2 linked regions of the Diceros bicornis minor genome follow. The main gene of each other region encodes a partner of the protein of the gene in region 2 in a complex. Links are inferred from orthologs where the notes say so. Each region holds a gene or a part of one and is shown on either strand. Other genes may lie near its edges.

Region 1 (5,936 bases), on a different chromosome or scaffold from region 2:
CAACAAAATATTAGGAAATTGAATTCAATATACATAAATTTATGCTAATACTTTAAAAGAGTAAACAATGGAAAGATAAACTAAAATATTTTTCAAGGTTTCTCAGAAAGGGCAGGAGAGAACAGGTGGAGGGAGAGCTGTAGGTTTCTCTAAATATATCTGCCAGGGAGAGGCAGAGAGGAGGCAGGGAGAGGCAGTAGGTTTCTCTAAACATATCTTACTTTGTCGGTTTGACCTGTGGTGGGCGAGTGATTAAGATCGGTGCTCTCACCGCCTCCGCCCAGGTTCATTTTCCAGTCAGAGAACCAGATCACATTGGCTGTCATACTGTGGCAGCTGCGTGCTGCTGTGATGCTGAGAGCTATGCTACCAGTATTTCAAATACCAGCAGGGTCCCCCATGGGGGACAGGTTTCAGTGGAGCTTCCAGACTAGACAGACTGGGAAGAAGGACCTGAATACCAACTTCCGAAAAAATTGTCTCCGAAAACCCCATGACTACCAGCGGAGCCGTGTCGGATACAGCGCCTGAGGACGAAAGGATGGCTCGAGAAGAGCAGGCAGGGCTCCCTCACTGCACACAGGATCACTAGGAGTCGGAATCGACTCCACGGCACTAACAAGAGATTTGACTTTGGAAACATGTAAATAATCACATAGTTATAAAGCAAAAGTAAATTTTTAAAAAGCTATCTCAAAAAGTTAAAAGCAAACTGAAACTGATCCTAACCATGTATCCAGGTGGTGGTCTAACCACAGAGAGAACTATTTCAAGTGATTAAAAACAGTAATTTGAGGGGCTGGCCCTGTGGTGCAAGCGGTTAAGTGCTCGCGCTCTGCTGCGGCGGCCCGGGTTTCACCGGTTCGGATCCCAGACGTGCACCGACGCACCGCTCGTGGAGCCATGCTGTGGTGGCGTCCCATATAAAGTAGAGGAAGATGGGCACGGATGTTAGCCCAGGGCCAGTCTTCCTCAGCAAAAAAAGAGGAGGATTGGCAGATGTTAGCTCAGGGCCGATCTTCCTCACAGACACACAAAAAAACAGTACTTTGATCGTACATCTCCAGTGGAATATACCTTAAGGGAAAAAAGAACTACAAAAAAAAAAATTCTTAAACTGTGTTTGATCATCATATTGTTAGCTACAGTGTTGTCGTTCTTCTTCTGAGATTGTTGTGTATGTAGCGTGCAGAAACAAGATACAAATGCAAGAGCAATGAGGTTAGTAGGAACCCTGTAGTCCTAGAAATAACAGTATGAACTCATGAGGTATTTTCTCTTTAAAAGCACGAAATACACATTTCCTAGCTTTGTTCACTGAAAACATCTAGAAACAATAGCCAACTGAGTAGCAATGAGCACATCTGGTGTCAGATTGGATTAGTAAATATCATTTCCTAGCAAAAGGGACCAGAGATCCTTGGAGAAATGGATGATTCCAAGTCTAGGGCAGGAACTGTAGTAGATGAGCCAGGGACATCTTGTGGTTCCAGAAAACAAGGAAACCTATAAAAGACTACTAGGGTCACATCAAAAGATGTGCTAACTGGAAGAGGCTCCCAGTGGCAACAGATTGGACAATTTGAGCATCAAGAAGAAGAATAACCACAACTAACTGAAACATATCAAAATGTTAAAAATTCAATATTTAATAATGATACTTTTTTTAAAGGTCACGGTTGGAGCATGCTAGGGAAACAACTTATTATTTTAAAAACTGGGACATAAAAGGAAAAAATCAAGCAATTATTTTGCCCTTCTTGTACTCACCATACCAATGGGCAACCAAATAGTTGGTGAGGGGGAGTTTTCTTTATAGAAGTATTCCAGCTAGTAAATGAAGACAAAGTGGCGGACTTCGAATCTCAGTTTTGTAACTTCTAATGAATTAAAGGATCTAGGCCATCATCATCTATGGCTGCTAAAAAGACAGACACGAGGTATTATGTCCCTCCTGCTGGAAAACACACACCTCCTTTGAAGCAGTCTTGCCCCCTAAAAAAAGAATCTGATGAAGCTTCTAGATCTAATTACTAATTTACAGGAAATACAGGGCAGATGAACACGACAATACAGGAATGCAATCACTAAAATCCAGGCTATGAGAAACTTACAAGATCAAATACATAAAAATAAAATCCAATAGCTACTCCAGAGTTAAAAAACCCTGAGTAGTACAGTTTTAATGAGACATGTAACAAATCGAAAGACAGTGTCCTGATTATTGGTGAAACAGCAAAAGCATTCTCATGCAAGTTTCAGGAAAAAGAAAAGGATGTCCACTGATACTAGTAAGACTGGAGATTGTTCCCACAGTGCTAGAAAAGGAAACAAACTACACGATGTAATGAGGAGGCAAAACTATCATTATTTGGAAGTGAGATGACTAACTCTGGGAGACCCAAGAAAATAAAATGAAAACTCTCAGGAATAGCAAAAGAACTGAGTAGATATCCAAGTAAAAAATTAATTGTAAGAATCAACGGCTTTCTTGAAAACTATGGCCTGCAGGCCAATCCAGCCCACTGCCTGTTTTTGCAAATAAAGTTTTATCGGAACACAGCCATGCTTATTCATTTACATATTGTCTATGGCTGTTTTTATGCTACAGTGACAAAGTTGAGAAATTGTGACACAGAGCATATGTGAGGTTTGCCAAGCTTTGCTATAGATAAATAATAATGTTAGAAAATAAAATTAAGAAAAAAAAGATCTAATTTGTAATAGAAATGAATATAAGCTATCAGGAATAAACTTTAAAATATATAATAACTATTATATATGAAGAAAACAACTGTACAGACATAAAAGGGGATATGAATAAATGGTATTAGGTGTCTCATTCTTGATAGAAAACCAAAGCAAGACTCTAAATTAAATTGTCGATACTCTGCAGCCAAAGACCACCAGGAATACATCCATACCTGAACAAATGGGTTTACTACTGTCGTACTGTGGGGCATCTCAGTAAGGGGGGTCAGGAAGCATTTATAGGATTTGGGCTTGTGTTAGGTGATTTAGGGAGGTTTAAGGAAGCAGGGCTTTTCTCTGGACTGGATGTTGTCAGCAAGTGGGAGGATTTCTGTGATGGGATATGTTAACAAATCTTAACTAGACAGAGGCTACAGCTGTAATTGGTAAAGAAGCAACGGTCACATATATTCTCCGAGAAAGAGGGATGTTTCCTCATTTTTGTGGTTTGGACAATATTCGTGCCTTTGTTGGTGTTCACGTGATTTCGCAGTGATCTTGTTTTTGTCTTGATACCTCATGTCACAGAGGGACTTTGTCTGATGTTGATGATCTGTGAAATCGTTCATGTTCAACAGAACACCAAGGCCAGCTCCTGGATGCCAGGGATGTTTTTCTCTATCTCAAATCTAAATTAAATGCAATTTAATCTTGATCACCAGTTTTGTATGTGTTTTGTTTTATGAGAGAACTTGACAAAGCATATCTAAATTAGGTATCTGAACAAATAAACAGTAGAGAAGAGTTTAAGAAACCAAAAAAGAGGGCCGGCCCTGTGGCTTAGCGGTTAAGTGCACCCGCTCTGCTGCTGGCAGCCGGGGCTTGGGATCCAGGGCGCACACCCACGCACCACTTCTCCGGCCATGCTGGGGCCACAGCCCACATACAGCAGCTGGAAGGATGTGCAGCTATGACATGCAACTGTCTACTGGGGCTTTGGGGGGGAAAACACACACACACACACACACACACACACACACACACACACACGAGAGCACTGAGAAAACTGAGATATAAAAGGTTGATAAACTTGACTATGAAAAATAAAAGTCTTCTGTGTAATAAAAATCACCCATACACGGGTTTAGAAGACAAGCTACAAACTCGGATAAAATATCTTCAACACATTTGAGGAAGGGCTGCTATCACTAGTAAAAACAAACAAACTCCCTACCAATCAACATAAAAAGTGTACTTCTGGGAATCGTTTTAATTTTTTTACAGTAAGAATGTACAACTGAAAAATTTTCAAGGGAAAAAAGCGGAGACTTGAACACAGAGACCCGGGCGTAGCAGAGGAGCTTCAGGGAAGGACTACGCTTCCCAGGAGGCTCTGCGCTGACTGTCCCCGGCTCCCGACAGGCTCCGCGCGCTTTCCGCGCCAGTTTGGGCCTTACTTAGCGAGCAACCGAATCGCGCCGGAGGATGGAGAGCAGTGACGAAGCAGCCGTCCAGAAGCACCGCATCCACTTACGCCCCGTCTCGCTCCGCGACGCCGCCCCCGTCACGCTGCACCTTCTGCCCTGCGAGGTCCCAGTTAACCAGCCCGCCCCCGTGGGGCGCTTCTTCACCCCGGCCATCCGCCAGGGTCCCGCCGGTGAGCGCTCGCGGCCGGACTACGGCTCCCGGCAGCCCCCGCGCCGGCGCCGCGCTCTTCTCGGCAAGGAGCGGCGCGAGAGCTCCTGGGGATCGTAGTCCACCGGAGGTGGCGGAGGGCCGCCGCCGGGCTTGCCCCGCAAGGCCTGGATCAGGCCCTCACTAAGGCGCTGCGCCTGCCTTCTCCAGGACTCGAAGTGTCGTTTCGGGGCCGCAAACTACGGGGCGAGGAGCTGGTGCTGCCGCCCGGCCTCGTGGGATACGTGATGGTGATGGAAGAAAAGCAGGACTTCTCGGAGGCTCCGGAAAATGACGACGAGCAGGAGCTGGTGGAACCCCCGGAGGCGCTGGAGCGGGACTTCGTGAGCAAAGGGGCACAGGGTTGGAAGGGGGTGCGGGCGGGAGCGCGGCCCCCGTGCTGAGCCGAGCCCCTTCCCCAGGACTGCTTTATCGGAGCCACTGCTAGTTTCAGCCGCTTCACTCTGTGGGGCCTGGAGACCATCCCCGGCCCGGATGCCAAAGTGCGCGGGGCCCTAACCTGGCCCAGCCTCGCTGCAGCGGTGAGTAGATGGATGGTCCCCTTCCGCCCAGGCCCCATCCGTTCCCCTTCTGACTTCAAGGTGATTTCCTGGGTTGTCCAGAATCTTGCTCCTCAGCAGATATGGGGCTTTCGGCCTGGGCAGTACAGTGGGGCAGATGGAGCCCGGGTCTGCTGGAGCACTGGACTGGGCAAGGGCAGGGTGGCTTCCCCAGCACTCTTCTCTGGCCTGTCTAGAAGAGACTATCACAGAGCAGCCGGGTCCCTCCCCAAGTATGTGAGCTACCCAGCCGCTCTCTCAGAAATCCAATAGCAGAGGTGACTCCTGTTGCAGATCCACTCACAGGTGCCCGAGGACTGAGAACCAGAGCTTGAAATTGAAAGCCACTGATCCCTTCAGCCCAATTAACCAGCTCTTCACTTCGGAGCCACTGATTCCATCACCCCAATAAACGAGTTCTTCACAGCACCTGTGAGTTTTCCAGCATCTTGGAGCCCCTAAGCCGGCACTGCCCAGTCTCCCACAAGAGACTCTGACCTATACAAACAATTTATTGCCAGGGGGCAAGAGAGGCCAGAATTTAGCAGCCAGTACCCACCCCACCCCCAACTCCTACTTTACAAAAGAAATTTTTACAGCCACCAGCCTTCTGTACAGAGCACCCCCACGCCTGTCTCACTGTACACAGCTGCCCGGCTCTCTCTGGTCCCTGGTTCACAGCAGGCCTGGGCCTGCAGCGAGCTGACCTTGGAGTTGACCTGAGCCCTGAGCTCGCCTCGGTGCTGGGTACCAGCTGGCCCCTACCAGGCCTGTCCTCCTTGTGGAGCTGTCCTCAGCCCCGTCTCCCTTGGTGTGCCTCTTGGGGGCCTCAGTGGGCGTGGGATGGGCTGTCAGCCCCAGTTCTGCCGGCTTTGTTGGCACTGCCACAGGCAGTGCCTGGTCACCACTTTCCCCTCTTGCTCCAGTCCTTGGGAGTGAAGTGGAGACACTTGGAGTCGATCCGAAGGAGCCGCTTGAGCATAGCCCGTTCGTGCCCATCCACAATGTCCT
Region 2 (7,815 bases):
AGAGGAAGTCCCTGTCTGTCTTGCTCACGGGTACATCCGCAGGGCTCAGCCCTGCAGGGCACGTACCAGGCGCCCAGTAAGCACTGAACGCTGGCCAGACTGCCTTTGGCCCGGACCTGGTGTCCATCCTTACTTTGGCCTCACCTAAGTTCCAATCACAGACTTGCTGTGTCACCCCACCCGACGGCCACTCCCTCCCTGTGCCTCAGAGGACCCAAGGGTCCCTTGAATCCGGCCACTGAATCTCACATCTGCCCTTGTGTGTGTGCGGGGTGGGGGACACGATTGTCTCCACTACACAGATGAGACTGAGCCTCATAATGGAGAGAAAACAATGGATTTAAGCTGGCGCCCCTCACTCCTGCCCCTTCACAAAGAGACAGAGGCCCACCCTCCCTGCGGCTCCAGAGAGCCAGCATCGAGGGAGGGAGACAGGAGGGAGCCTGCCAGCTGGGACCCAGCTCCGCCACACACCGGCCGTAACCAAGGGGCCCCCAGCATCCCCCGCTGCGAAGCGGGGTGAGCAGAACTTAGAAAACCTCAGCAGCGTGCTGGGCCTGTCCGTGTCACCACCGCTGCGGCTGCCTCAGGGCAGCACGAGGCGGGCCGGACGGCCACCTGCTCACCGTTGGGGTAGCCCGAGCCATAATCGGCGTCCAAGTCCTGCAGTTTCTCCACAAACTGCCAGTTCCTCACAGCCTGGTCTCGGGCCACCTGCAAGCAAGACAGACACTGGGGACCTCCCTCCCCCGAGGCAGCCACACCTGCCCCCTGCCAGGAGGGTGCTGGGAGCCGGCCACGGCCAGCGGGGGACTGACCTTGGCACAGATGCTGGCAGCGCTGACCACGGGGTAGAGGGCGTCGGCCTTGGCCTTGACCGTCACCTCAACGCCGGGAAAGCGCTGCTGCAGCCGCTGCTGGTACGTCTCTGGCATCCCCACGGTGTCCACAAATACCTGCCGCGGTGACAGAAATGTATCCATTCAACAGACAGCTGGAAAAACTGCAAACAATCCACCTTCCCAGTCTTCGCCCTCGTTGTTCCCGCCGCCTAAGACACTCTCCTCTCAGCTCATCCCCAGGCTGCAGCTTTCCATCAGGGTCTCAGCTCAGACGCCACCTCCCACAGAGGCTTCTCTGATCACGCCGCAGCCATTCTACATTTACTGAGCACCTACTGTGCGCCATGGGCTGCTCTATGTGCCAGGGACATGCAGGGAAAACGCCAGACAAAAATCTCTGTCCTCCTCGAGGGGACACCTTGGTGAGGACCACAGACAGGAAACACGGTACATAATAAAGGATAAGGCAGAGTCAGAAAGGGTTATAATTTTAAACAGTGGGGGGGGAGGTTTGGGGAAGGTCACTCTGAAGTGGCGACATCTGAATAAAGGCCTGAAGGAGGTGAGGGAATGAGCCACATGGAGATCTGCAAAAGAGTGTTCTAGGCAGAAGAAACAGCCAGTGCAAAGGCACTGAGGTGGGACCACGTCGAGGATGCTGGACAGCAGTACGCAGGCCCTATGGCTGGAGCAGAGATGAGGTCAGGGAGGTAACACGGAAGGTGACCTCCCTAGCACTATTGTTCTTAAATCACCTTTTTATTTGCTCATCAGCTGACCACTGTCTCACCCGACTGGCCATGAACCCTGAGAACAGGGCCCTCGTCTGTCTGCTCCAGTACTGTCTCGTCAGCTCCACAGTCTAGTCCTGGACCTCAGCCACCTCGTCAGCAAGGTCTCCCTTGTTACATTCCCCGTCTCAAGTGTATTTGTCCTCATTAGTCTCTCAAAACAGCCCGTTCTTTGCCTCAGAGCACTCGATGCAATGCCAACTTATATTTCTGGTAATTTAATCTCATTCTCCCCTACTTGCCTGTGAATTTTCCTGATTTAATTTCCACCGTGATCAAAAAATTAAATGTCGAGATTTACATTTCAAAAAGATGACTGTCTGCTGCTGCTGTGTATGGAGCAGATTGCAAGGGAGGGGGCTGGAGGTGGGGGGATCAGGGAGGAGGACGGGGCAGGCATCCGGGAGGCCAGGGTGCCCTGGGCAAGGACAGAGGCTGTGGGCAGGTGGACAGATGTGGGATTTGTTCTGGAGTCTGAGCCTTTAGGATACAGAGATAGATTAGTTGGGGGTGGGGCTGGGGGGTCTACCATGGTGCTCAGTAGGGCACACATTTAGGATGGGAAAGCAGCAGGAAGGCAACAGCAGCAACAAATGTTCCTGATCCGTCTGACACTGTTCCAGATATGTCTGACGCTGAATCAGCCACTGAACTTTTATACCGTTTTATCTGGAGCTGATCAAACGAGGGCAACCCAACAGCTCACCTTGGCGACCTGCACGCCCTGGTCCAAAGCATACTGCACCAGCCCGGCGGCTGTATCATGGGACAGAGAGTTCAGATTGTATTTGACCCTGCAGTGAGGACAGAGTCCAGTTAACCCCGTCCCAGCTACCGATCCCTGCCAGCCCATGCTGGCCGCCCCTCCATCCTGGCCCCTCCTAGGACCCTCACCGCCCAAGCATGCTGGTAGAGATGAGGTTTGGAGACAGCACGTCCAGTGCCCAGCCCACAAAGTCCCTGTCCTCCTTCATTTTCGCGAAGAGCCTGTCCCGCTCGCTCTCCGACAGGGTCTTTGAGTCTGGGAAGAAGGTTGGGAGAGAAGCGGAGCGGCTGGTTCTTCCAGTCCCTCCCCGAGCCCCACCGCGCCCCTGCACAGGCCCAGGTACACCCTCCCCAGACGTGCACCTCGGGCTCACCTGCCACTTTCAGGGCCTCCAGATCTGCCAGGCGGGACAGGGGGCAATAACAGATGGCGTAGACCATGGGGCCTGGGGAAGCGGGGGGTCCAAGCAGTGAGGCCGTGAAGGCGGCCATCCCCGTTCCACCACCACCACTATCACCCCCGTCCCCGGGGCCGGGGCAATCCCGGCTCCCGTTTTAGTGCAACTTGCATCCCCCTGACCACGCCCCTCCCCGCCCCGGCCCTGGGGGCGCACCCAGCACCGGGCCCCGGCCCGCTTCATCGACGCCCAGGGCGCAGGGCTCCTTGCGGCACACCGCGGGCACAGGCGAGCTCAGGCGACAGCGGCCCGTATTGTCTCTCTCCAGCTCGCTGAGATCCATGCCGCCTCGGCCGCCGCCACCAGCCGCAGCAACCAGCTCCGCAGGGGCAGGTCTCGGCGCGCGTTTTCCGCGGGCCCCGCAGCGGCGCTCGCTCCCGACCAATCGGCGCGCAGGACACGCCCCCGACGCTCCCGCCGCCGTGGACGTTGGCGTCGCCGACGCCTACGCCGCTGCCTCCTGGCTTCCTGGGAATTGTAGTTCCCAAGGCCGACCGCCGAGCTCCACGTTTGGGGAACCGGATGGGTGGGGTCGCTTTCTGAGCTCCGCCGCGGGGTCTCTGCAGCCTCGCTCGCCCGGGCTGGTGAGAGAAGGAAATAAACCCGAGATGAAGGCAGGCTTTGCAGAACCCAGGCCAGTCAGGGCCTAGAAGGTCAAATACTACTGTCCTCCTAGAATACGGGTCTCCGCATCACTGGATCCCTGTCTCCCACGTGCATTCAGGCCGTTTGTACTCGGGATCGCCGCCACTGCACACAGTCTAAGCCCCCTGGACTAGGTATCACTGCCCCCACTGGGCTCAGGCCTTCGGACTTGGGGTCTGCCAATTCCCTCTCTCCGTACCTCACCCGGATCCCCACTCCCCCCGCCCCGCCCCCTGATTCCTACCCTCTCTCTTTCGGGCTAAGCCTCGCCTACCCCGAACCGAGACCCCAGACTCAACAGATCCTGCTCAGAGTCTCTGCCCCCCACGCAGGCTCATATCCCCCAACTCAGGGTTCATTTCCCCCCTACCGCCCCTCCGACCTCACCTCCCCTTCTATTCTCTAGTCTCAGGGGGCTCACGTCCTCGGCCTGTGGGTCCCTGCCCCTCACCAGGCTCATGCCCCTTCCTCAGGGTCCAGCTCCTCCGCCTCCGTTCCCCACCCCACCTTCCTCGCGGAATCAGCGGGGCTCACATCTCCTGACTCAGCTCTCCCCTCCCCCACCACCCTCTAGCCCCAGACTCAGGGCCCGATTTCTCCTTTCCTCTCTTCCTGCCCACCCTGGGGACTCGCGGCGCCGCACTTGCCGGCCCGCCCCGGCCCCGCCTCCTCTGCGCCCGTCTCTCACCCAGGCTCAGGGCCTCCAGTCGCAGTCCATCGGCTTGCAGGATGAACAATCCCGTTGCCTGCAGGGCCGCACCTGCACCAGGTTCTCGCGGTCCATGAACACCGGGCCCAGGGCTGCGCCCACCACCTCGCGGCTGCGCTCCTGCTTGCCCACGTCGCACAAACAGCGCCACTTTCCCCACGGGCCAAAGATCGAGTTCTCCACCTCTAGGGATGGAGAGCCAGGTAGAGGGGATCTACTCCCATGCCCTCCTCTGGGGAGGGAGGAGGATAAAGACACTAACAAATAACAACAGCTCCTGTGTGCTGGGCTCTGCCTGTGTCAGGCACCCCACCATAGATTGTCTCATTTAATCTTCCCATTATTCCCAGGTGGGGAAACACACCTACAAAGACAAAGCCACCCTTCTGAGCTCGCACATCTGGTGAGGGGCCCAGACAGACTGCACACTGACACTTCCCACTTGTGCTAGCCTGCCCAGTTGGGAGTGTGGTACAACACCCTTGGTGGCCACCATCTGAAGCTGGCTCCTGTTTCCAGGGGCGTGAGCATGGGCCTGTCCAGCGGGCACAGTGCCGCCTGACCAGCAGGGCTGCCAGGTGGTAAATTAAATGACATAATTGGCATAATGAAGGTACTTAAAGCTCCTGGCCGTGGGCTCACACGTAGAACAAAAACAATTATTATGATCACATTTCAAGCAGCTACAAGTTATTTGAAGCGGTTATTCGATGCCCTTTACAATGTTCTTTTGCTGACTCCTCTATGTGTCCTATGAGACAGTCTTAACCCAACTCTGTGGCTCCCAGAGTCCTGACACCTCAGGCCCTCCCCAAGCCTCCGCCAGACAATAATGGCCACTTTCCATCCCTCCTTCAGGCCTTTTGGCCTTAGCACCTGCTGTTCCCACTCTCTTGCACACTCTTCCCCCTAAATCTTTGCATTTTTGGCTTTTGCTTGTCATTCTGGCTGCAGTGGTCACCTATCTTTTTTTTAGCGGGACCTTCTCTAACTTCAGAAATGTACCTAACCGTGAGTTTACGGATGTGTCTGCTCCGGTATGTCTCACCTGCCCACGTCTCCTTTCCCCCTGTAAGCTGCTTACGGGCAGTTTCTATTTCAATTTACAGATGAGGAGACTGAGCCTCAGAGAAAAGTAACCAGCCCAAGGGGGTCCCGCGTGGGCGCAGCTGGGCAGGGATTTGAAGTCCCCAGAGAAGGGTCTGTTTGCAGCCAGCTGGCGAAGTGGGGCAACGGGCACCTTTCTGCACCGTCACACCCGCGGCCTGCGGTTACCTTTCTCCTGATGCTGCAGCCGCAGCTGCTCCCAGGTGTCGCCTTCGCCCTGCTCGCCAAAGTAATGGTAGTCGGGGGAGACCTGGGCAGGGGTCGCCAGCAGCAGGAGCATCAGAGGCGGCAGCAGTAGCGCCGCTCGGCTCGGGGCCATGCCGGACTCCAACCGACCCCGGCGCGCTCCGAGGAGGAGCCCCGCGCGGGGTCCGCGGTGCCCGCCCGATCCCCGGGGGCGGGCGCAGTGGTGGGGGCCCGCGGCTGCGCGCTCCCCCCGCCGCCCGCAGGCGCGTGGACCCGGCCGGCTCCGCTCCCCCTCCCCTGCGGTTGCAGTGGACCCGACCGCTCGGCTCGTCCGCCCACCCCCCGCCCTGCGCGTCACGGTTCCGGCGGCGCATAAAAGGCTCAGCGGCCTGGGGCGCGCTTGGCGCTGAGAACGCGAGCTCGGGTGTGTGCTTGTCCGTGCGTCCCGCCCTTGCCCACGCAGGTATGGACACCCGGACTGCACGGTCTTGGGGGGACCTTTTGGAGTAGCTCCGGCCCTCTCTAGACCTCAGCGCTGGCCGCCTTTGTTTCCTGCCCGCCACAGTGGCCGCCTTTGTCCTTGCAGGGGAAACCGAGGCCAGAGCCTTGGCGTACAGGCCGCATCGCCGAGTTCCCGCCCCCCGCTCCCGGGGTCCCCTCCCTGGGCGGTGGGCTTGCGCCACCGCGCTCGGGCCGACCCACTCGTGGCGGGCCCTGCGGCCGCGGCCGGGCCACTCGCGCTCTGGCCAGGGGGTGGGTCTCCCGCAGCCTCCAGGCGGCGCAGAGCCGATCCCGGGAGGGTGCGGGGACGGTGCTGCCGCCTCGCCGCTCGGCCTCGGTCACCGGCCCAGCACGCAGCGTGACCTTGGGGAGGGAGGACAAGGGGTCTGCCCGGGCGCACTGACCGGGCGGGGGTCTCAGCTTTCAGTCATGGTCTGCTGCAAAGCGCACATCGGAAAGCCCGCCCCGGACTTCCACGCCACCGCGGTGGTGGATGGCGCCTTCAAGGAGGTGAAGCTTTCCGACTACAGAGGTGAGGGCGGCCTGGAGGGGCCAGGTGGGGGCGGGGCCCAGGCTTTAGCGGTCTAACTCCCCGTCTGTGCGCCCCCGCCCCCAGGGAAATACGTAGTCCTCTTCTTCTACCCGCTGGACTTCACCTTCGTGTGCCCCACGGAGATCATCGCTTTCAGCGAGCGTGCTGCGGACTTCCGCAACCTGGGCTGCGAGGTGTTGGGGGTCTCGGTCGACTCGCAGTTCACCCACCTGGCTTGGTAGGAGCGGGGGCCAGGTGGGAGAGTGGGAGAGGCTAAGCTTACACCTCTGTAGGGCCCGAGGCAGCTGTGGTGCCTCCCTTTCCCGTCTTGGAAATGATGATGGCAGTAATTAGCATTGGGAAACTAGTTGCTGTGTAGAGTTTCAGATGCTTTCTCTCTCTTGGGGCAACCCAGCCTCCCTCCCAAGCACTATTTCAAGAAGGTGGAAACTCCAGTTCAAGGGAGTGAAAGGCCAGGCCCCAGCACGCAGAGCTAGAGAAGAAAATGGGGACTCTAAGGCAGGCTGTCTGCCTCAAGATGCTGGAGGCCGCCAGCACGTGAAGCCACTTTGCTGGAGCATTAGCTTAGTCTTCCCAGCTGTGGGAAACCGCCACTTCAGGGTGGGGTGGGTGAGGCTCCCAGGGCCTCCCTCTAAAGCCCCTTATCTCTCGCCTCCAGCACCCGCTCTCCAGCCCTTATCACCCCCAGGCCCACAAGGTGAGGACCCTGCTGTGCCAGGCCTCTTGAGGTCCTCGCCCTGTCTCCCCCACCCCCAGGATCAACACCCCCCGGAAGGAGGGAGGCTTGGGCCCCCTGAACATCCCCCTGCTGGCCGATGTAACCAGAAGCTTGTCCCGCGATTATGGCGTGCTGAAAGAAGATGAAGGCATCGCCTACAGGTACCGTGGGGCCTTCAGGGAGCCCCCATCCTCACGGCGAGGGGACCACTGTTGGACGATACCCTCCCTGCCCACAACTCTGTGGCTGGCAGACAGTCCGTGCTCCCTCCCCTGGCCCTAGCAGTGGGAGCTCCCAGCTCCTCACCATGAACGCTGATATCTTCAGGGGCCTCTTTATCATCGATGGCAAGGGTGTCCTTCGCCAGATCACCATCAATGATCTGCCTGTGGGGCGCTCTGTGGACGAGGCTCTGCGGCTGGTCCAGGCCTTCCAGTACACGGACGAGCACGGGGAAGGTGAGCAGACACACACATTGACGTGTGTTCACACACGGGTACACGCTCAGCCCCTCTGTCACTCATACCTTCACTGCTCGAT

What was found.
Region 1: the proteins of RNASEH2A (region 2) and RNASEH2C are in contact, whole or in part, in a crystal structure (PDB 3PUF), measured with the Homo sapiens proteins. The link is inferred for Diceros bicornis minor from reciprocal best matches to the Homo sapiens genes RNASEH2A and RNASEH2C. Residues at the interface, in NP_006388.2 of Homo sapiens: Thr11, Asn99, Ser102, Thr103, Leu106, Gly107, Arg108, Val109, Val196, Glu197, Lys198, Leu199, Glu225, Pro226, Val227, Phe228, Gly229, Phe230, Pro231, Gln232, Phe236, Leu245, Ala249, Glu250, Asp251, Val252, Ile253, Trp254, Glu255, Asp256; in NP_115569.2 of Homo sapiens: Pro33, Cys34, Glu35, Val36, Ala37, Val38, Ala42, Pro43, Val44, Gly45, Arg46, Phe47, Phe48, Pro50, Ala51, Arg53, Ser62, Phe63, Arg64, Gly65, Arg66, Cys67, Leu68, Leu134, Glu135, Thr136, Lys143, Gly146, Ala147, Thr149.

What each region holds. Positions count from the first base shown.
Region 1 is NC_080770.1:7,504,697-7,510,632, forward strand, and holds RNASEH2C (ribonuclease H2 subunit C), read left to right. Parts: upstream 1-4,146; 5' UTR 4,147-4,176; coding exon 4,177-4,348; intron 4,349-4,536; coding exon 4,537-4,709; intron 4,710-4,787; coding exon 4,788-4,907; intron 4,908-5,219; coding exon 5,220-5,246; 3' UTR 5,247-5,354; downstream 5,355-5,936. Other genes in the region: histone acetyltransferase KAT5, read right to left, coding at 5,827-5,936.
Region 2 is NC_080769.1:4,554,088-4,561,902, forward strand, and holds the start of RNASEH2A (ribonuclease H2 subunit A), read right to left. Parts: upstream 3,157-7,815; 5' UTR 3,140-3,156; coding exon 3,013-3,139; intron 2,845-3,012; coding exon 2,773-2,844; intron 2,655-2,772; coding exon 2,528-2,654; intron 2,428-2,527; coding exon 2,340-2,427; intron 957-2,339; coding exon 819-956; intron 715-818; coding exon 627-714; intron 1-626. Other genes in the region: THSD8 (thrombospondin type-1 domain-containing protein 8), read right to left, coding at 4,196-4,395, 5,486-5,636; PRDX2 (peroxiredoxin-2), read left to right, coding at 6,434-6,536, 6,621-6,774, 7,314-7,436, 7,558-7,733. UniProt on the Homo sapiens protein: Catalytic subunit of RNase HII, an endonuclease that specifically degrades the RNA of RNA:DNA hybrids. Participates in DNA replication, possibly by mediating the removal of lagging-strand Okazaki fragment RNA primers during DNA replication.